Linked DNA regions of Caenorhabditis elegans. The protein of the gene in region 1 interacts with the protein of each later gene in a pairwise test. Each region holds a gene or a part of one and is shown in the gene's direction. Other genes may lie near its edges. The genes, in order: spig-9 and asna-1.

Region 1 (3,183 bases):
GTTTTGTGGGTGTTCACCAGAAAATGCTATTCTTAGTTATGGATAAGTTTTCGGAAGAAAGTCTTCGAAAAGTGTATCCAAGATTGAATATTGTCATCTGGTTGGCACCAGTACTTCAAGTGAGTTTTGAATTTAAAGGCGGAGTTGTTTGTTTGTGGAGTTTGATTAAAACAAGAGAACATTTTGAAAATAATACAATTAAATATTCTGAAATTTTTATTCTGAAATTGTCTAGGGTTCTCTAGCGCAACTAATTTCCTTTTTTTGTAGGTTTTTAAAAAAGTATTGTATAATGTTGATACTTAAAACTTAAAATCCTTAGCTTCCATCTGAAATATTTTTTCAAACAAAAAACATTAATTTTCATCACGTGATTATTTTCAGAAAACATTCCGCCCATATGACATAACATACATGAGCTTTTTCCTAATGAGAACCAATATGATTCATGCACTTCAAAAACTTGGAAAACCGTTTTGGATGCTTCAGGCTGATACAGTTTGGCGTGATAATTTTCTTAACTTGGTCGATGTGAGTAAATATGAGAATAGTGATATTCTTCTTGATCAACAAGGATTCGAAGGAACCGCTGATATTCGGTAATAAAATACAGTTGTTAAATATGATTGAAACGATTGATTGGATAATTTCAGAAAAAGAACAATGAACGGTGCAAACTTCTATATTCCCTCAAAATCTTCCAGTCAGTCTTTAGTAGAATCATGGTTATTTTGGCAGAAAAGTGTGTATATTACTGACCCAGATCTTGTTAAAATGTTTTGTCTCCGTGGAGATTATTCATGTGATTATGTTCCATACAGGTATGGCTACCAAAAAAGTTGATGATTCAAGGTTTCATATTTTTAAATTCAATTTAACTTAAAATTTATCCAAGGCATCTTAAATTTTAAATCGATCTTCTAAGCTCATCAAAACTGTTATTTTCAGTCTGGTAACGGGATGGGAATGGATTTACGGAGACCAGAAAAACCCACCGATCATGATTCAAATGGACGGAGAAACTGGTGGAAATAAGGAGAAAGTGCTTGAAAAATATAATTTCTGGTTTTTGGATAAAAATGACAGATGTAAAGCAGATAAAGTTTCAAAAGGAGTTCAACATATGGTTGATGGAACTGTGCCACGGATTATGACGCAATCAAAGAATCGCGAACAATTTTATTTGAAACTCGGAGAATTTCTCAATCAAATTCCAGTTTTCGGACATTATTCCAGCATTTATGGAGGACTCACGTCGCTTTATTTACAGTTTTTCTGATTTTTAATAAAGTTTTTTGAACGTTTTTATGGCAACTTTTGTGATCGCCAGAAATGCCAAAAGTAACATACTATCGCAAACCGTGCTTGCTAAATTTAATAAAATATAATTCATTAATTTAAAAAAAAACAGAAAAAAGTCAATTGAGAAAAATCGCAAGAAAAAACATTATTGGTACTTACACATTCAATGTGCAGTTTTTTTTGTGTATTTATTCCCAAAAGGTTATCTTAAAAAATTACTTGAAGATACTGTTATTCAATGAAGGATTGATGTCTGAAATATACAAAAGTTCTCATATGTCTTCTATTATTCGAACATTTCACTAAATTTTTTATAAATCAAATGCCCTCTAGGAATGTCCAACAAATCAAAACCTATTACTTTTGTTCCCCTGGTTAGTCTCTCCCAATTAACACCAAAGTTCATCTCTCTGTAAATCCGCCTACATAACCATATCGATCGAACAATGATCATTTTTCATACGATAATCCGGCAGTTTCCATGTACCAGTTAATCCGTTAGTATAAAATAACAGGTAGATTCCTCATTTGACGATTTAAATCATTTCAACATGAACTCTATCTGGACATCTCTTTTTGTAGCAATTCTCGCTGTTTCCGTTATTGCCCTCAACGAGAATGGTAAAGTTACTAATTTAATTTTCGATTTTAATTGATAGTTCTTTAGAAAACAATTATCTGCAAGAGTTGCTCGATGCTGGAATTTCCCAGGAAACCGCTAACAAGCTTGTAGACATCACAGCCAGCCACAACAACGATGGAGAAATTTCTGAGAAATCAGGAAAAACTATTTTCCAAGAAATCATTTCTGAGACTGATGCAGCTATCAAACAAGCACCAGCTAATGATCAGGTTAGTATTTAGTTCAAATGTTTGTCTCCCAGGAGTATAAGTACCCATTAATTTCAGCAAGCCTACAAGGCCTTCGTTGAAAGCAAGGCAGCTGAATTCGGTCAACCAGACGAGATTTCCATTCAAGTTGAATCTGATTCCGAATAATTTTCTAAAACTCAAGTATCGTCTGTATTACAATCTATGATTGTTCGTAATTTTTATTTTTGAGTAAAGTGTTATTCTTCAGTTGTGTGAACTAAATTTTGAACTTCCAAATTTTCCAAGGCTGAAACTAATGTTGTCCTGTTCAGTTGGCAGCCAGAAGCCAGACCACAAAATATGATTGATCTTTGAAAGCTAAATCTTCCAGAATCAATCCTCAAAGCTTCAAAAATCTGAAAATCAAAGATGAGATAACAAAGCTTTAGTTTTGAACGAGCAAGTGAAATAATGGACTTTCACTTTCCCTGCTTTGCAAGAAAGATTTCAGTGTTCTGGATTTAAGTTTTTAACATGAAACTTTTTCATTAAGACTACAGAAAAGGAAAGAATTTTTCAAGTTTTTAGTTTTTGAATATATCGACAGTGTGTTTTATACCTGCTAATCTTAAGTTTGTCGGTCAAATTCTGTGGTTTTTTTGCTATAAATGAGAGAAAACAGTCCCAATCAAGGGTGTCAAGTCCCGTGTCCCGTTTGTCCCGTTGTCCCGTTTTTTGGGTGTTTTCGCGGGAACGGGACATCCGTTGTCCCGTTTTTGTAATTTTTACGGGACATTGACACCCTTGGTCCCAATATACCAAATATAACTGTAAAAAATTCGTCGAATTTTTCTAGATTTTTAATGATCTTTTCAATTTCCAAAAAAAAGAGCTGCATTATTTTCAAATTTCCGCACAAAGAGATGTAGTTTTTAACATTTTAAGCGTTTTCCAGCAACACTGATACGCTTTCCTTTATTTATTCTTTGAAAAATTAAGAAAAACCAACCAGAAATGCCGTAAAACGCAAAAATATTGAAAATAATTCAAAAATAATTCAGCTCTTTT
Region 2 (3,909 bases), on another chromosome or scaffold:
AAATACGCAGATCGTAAAGAAGATTGGAAACACAGTCTTAAACAGATTGTTCCAAATTCTCGGATTATTGTTCTCCCACCATCGGATCAATATCCACACTGGACGAGTCGGCTCTACGTCACACCATCAGCTCTTATTGTTCAGGTAAGATTATTATGGAGACGTGGACATACGCTCCAAATGGGAACGACGGAAATTGATAAAATAAAATTAAAAAATAAAAGAAAAAAACTTTTCATTTTTAATGCATTCTTTAAACATAATTTCGGCATAAAAATCATTAAAACTAACGAAAAACATTTCAAAATGGTTGCAAATACGAATTCGTTGAATTCACGGGTTTGCTGCCAAATAACTAACGAGACCCATGGCTCGGGGGCGGAGCGTAGTCAGTTGGCCATGGGGCACATTTCCACGTCTCTATAATAAATCGATATTCTCATTTTCCAGAGTCTTGCCGTCATTGCTCTCGTATGCTGTATGCTTCTAATGGTTGTCGTATTCTTACATTATCGAGAGAAAAAGGAAGATCGATACGAACGACAACAACAATCTCATCGATTCCATTTCGATGCCATGTAGATTTTTTTGTGAATTTTAAGATCATATCTTCTTGAAGACGAGATCGTTTTTTACGGGTTCCCATCATTTGTCTCTTTTTTTGCATATTTGACCTTTTGAAGCTTCATCCTGTGTTTAGATTTCCCATTTCGAGCTGTGATTGCACGTCGGAGTATTTTTAGAGATCAGCTTTAAATCCGAGTTTTCCTTGTTTGAAAATAGAAACATTATTTGAAAACAACTGTAATATTTATTCCACGTGACCCCTTACCCTCCATCACTCTCTTTATAAACTGAACAGAGACTTTTTCGTTTTTTTGACGAACTATTAAAATAAAACTTTTTGAATTTTTTCCTAATGAAGTCAAATCCAAAATATTTTCTAATGAATGACGTGGAGCGGCAGAGCAAATATTCGCCGAAATATGTGAGTTTTCTTCAAATTTTTGTTAACTTTAACAAAAAGTTTCCAATTTCAGGTTCCAAACAACAGTCTGAAAGAGCGAATTCTGGAGTTTTTGGATTATTACATTGCGCCATTGAAACTGTAAGTTTCATTTTATGGAAAATTCTCATAAAAAACTCAATATTTTCAGGTATCTTCTGTCTTACCCGATGCCGGATTGCCTTTGGGACAATCGAAAATTGAGGTATTACATCGGAAAATCGTTGCAATGACATGGAACCCACATTCATTTTTTTCAGATTGAAGGCCAGTGGTGTGCAAGTGACTCCGAGCTCCGAACCAGTTCATATCGATGATCGTCTAATTCACATTTCACAGAAACAACCGTCCGAATGATTTTTCGATTTTTATTTAATAAAGTTTTAGAAATTATTTCATTTTTTTCAAGTTTTATCCGTGTTCTAATGGTTTTCTATTACCTTATTATTATTTCTTCAGTTCTCCAAAAAAAAATATTACCCAGACATAAAATGTTGAGGTTTTGTAACCTGGGTCTCGCCCCGAGAAAATTTTGTTAAATGCAGAAAGTTGTGCGCCTTTGGAGTACTGTAATAAACACTTTCGGAATTTTCATAATCGAATCAAAAAAGTTATTTATTAAAGAACTTAACTCCTATCAAGTCGAGAAAACACTGTAGAAAAACAATAAAAATTTGTATCCATTTTTACTTGAAAAATTAAAAAAACTGCAAAAGGCTAGACATTTCTTTTTAAAATTTCAAACTTTAAATGCAAATAAACCTAAAACTTCTTTTTTTTTCAGAAATAATGTCGGATCAGCTGGAAGCCTCTATCAAGAATATTCTCGAACAAAAAACGCTAAAATGGATTTTTGTGGGTGGAAAGGGAGGTGTCGGAAAGACGACATGCAGTTGCTCATTGGCAGCTCAACTCTCAAAAGTTCGTGAGAGAGTTCTTCTCATCTCCACCGATCCCGCCCACAACATTTCTGATGCCTTCAGTCAGAAATTCACAAAAACTCCAACACTGGTCGAAGGTTTCAAAAATCTCTTTGCAATGGAAATCGATTCAAATCCGAACGGAGAAGGCGTCGAAATGGGGAATATCGAAGAAATGCTGCAAAATGCTGCACAAAACGAAGGTGGAAGCGGTGGATTCTCGATGGGAAAAGATTTTCTTCAAAGTTTTGCTGGAGGACTTCCTGGGATTGATGAGGCAATGAGTTTCGGGGAAATGATAAAGTGAGTGTCAATGATTCTGATTTTTAAAAAATCTATTATTTTTTTCAGGTTGATAGACTCTCTTGACTTCGACGTTGTGGTCTTTGACACCGCTCCAACTGGGCACACTCTTCGTCTTCTTCAATTCCCAACACTTTTGGAAAAAGTATTTACGAAAATTCTGTCACTTCAAGGAATGTTTGGACCAATGATGAATCAATTCGGTGGAATGTTTGGAATGGGAGGTGGATCAATGAATGAAATGATTGAAAAGATGACAACGACTCTAGAATCTGTGAAAAAGATGAACGCACAGTTTAAGGATCCTGTTAGTTTTTCAGATTCAAGTGATATTTAAAATTACTACGGAGATATATCACCCAGACGCGAAAATTGTCGTAAAATTCTGCATCTTGGTAATATGTTTTTTTAACCTTTTCAATTATATCAAGGGTAAATTCTAGCTTGATATATATTGAATTCAGAGATTTTAAATCATCAAAGTTTCTGCAGAGCATTCAAATATGTATTTACAGAATTGCACCACATTCGTCTGCGTCTGCATTGCCGAATTCCTCTCTCTTTACGAAACCGAACGACTTATTCAGGAGTTGTCCAAACAAGGAATCGATACTCATAATATTATTGTGAATCAACTTCTCTTTCCGGATACCGATGCAAATGGAACAGTTTCATGCAGAAAATGTGCATCGAGACAGGCGATTCAGTCGAAATACTTGACAGATGTGAGTTTAAATGAGAAGTTTGATAAATTATTAAATTAGAAACTTTGAGCAAATTAATATTGAATAACCACAGTGCATTTTTGACTCTGTCGTGATTTGCTAGATGCGGAATAAATCAATTTTTCCAGATCGATGAGCTCTACGAGGATTTCCACGTCGTCAAACTTCCACTTCTTGAGGCAGAAGTGCGTGGAGGGCCCGCAATTCTTCAGTTCAGCGAACGGATGGTGGATCCTGAAGCTAACAAAAACTAAACTAATTTGTTCTCCTACAAAATCAACTTGTTCTGTGGTTTTTTATGTTAAAAGATTCTTCCTATCCCATGTTTTTTCTCCAAAATTCCCTGTCCCCTTATTTCTCGCTTTATTGTGGGTGCCTTTTTCGAATCAAATGAATAATTTATGATATTCATTGTTTTTTACTTAGGATTGAAGTATATTTGGAACATAATTATCTTTCAAACTTCAGCCTGGCAAACTATTTTTGTCAAGTAATCATTTTAATTAGCTAGATTTTAGACGTAATTTCTTTCAAATAGTACCTAGTATTAGGCAGCCGACAGGTCATGGGACCAAGCAGTACATTTTTCCGACTGCTAGACTTCATCCGACACTTACCTAGATTCAGAGAATTCAATTTTCACACAACTTGTTAAAATCTCTAGTTTACGAGCTTGTTTTTAACCAGACTTATGGATCCTGAGAATGGAGGGCCATGGAGCCTCCATGGAGGGGATGGCAGTTGGAGATACAATGATTTTGGAGTAATTTTACCTTCGTATTATTTTTCATGTGATTTCATTTTCAATTCACTTAGCCCCGTTTCCTAATGTTCAAGTTGCTATTTCCAATTTATTTTCCTTGGTCCACTTCATATTCCTTGGAATTTTTTCTGCATTCAAATTACCAAATAGCCACGTGCAATATCCCATTCTCTGCAGTTTTGAAATTTGAAT

The links.
Region 2: the proteins of spig-9 (region 1) and asna-1 interact in a two-hybrid assay, tested with the Caenorhabditis elegans proteins (one large-scale study listed by BioGRID).

What each region holds. Positions count from the first base shown.
Region 1 is NC_003283.11:13,610,535-13,613,717, reverse strand, and holds spig-9 (Minor capsid protein), read left to right. Parts: upstream 1-1,832; 5' UTR 1,833-1,853; coding exon 1,854-1,923; intron 1,924-1,969; coding exon 1,970-2,154; intron 2,155-2,211; coding exon 2,212-2,301; 3' UTR 2,302-2,381; downstream 2,382-3,183. Other genes in the region: F53F4.7 (Nucleotide-diphospho-sugar transferase domain-containing protein), read left to right, coding at 1-119, 385-599, 654-821, 949-1,279.
Region 2 is NC_003281.10:8,893,294-8,897,202, forward strand, and holds asna-1 (ATPase asna-1), read left to right. Parts: upstream 1-1,788; 5' UTR 1,789-1,795; coding exon 1,796-2,229; intron 2,230-2,277; coding exon 2,278-2,536; intron 2,537-2,744; coding exon 2,745-2,954; intron 2,955-3,082; coding exon 3,083-3,208; 3' UTR 3,209-3,361; downstream 3,362-3,909. Other genes in the region: lnkn-1 (Protein linkin), read left to right, coding at 1-144, 451-582; ZK637.4 (uncharacterized protein), read left to right, coding at 920-988, 1,041-1,108, 1,158-1,211, 1,267-1,363. UniProt on the Caenorhabditis elegans protein: ATPase required for the post-translational delivery of tail-anchored (TA) proteins to the endoplasmic reticulum. Recognizes and selectively binds the transmembrane domain of TA proteins in the cytosol.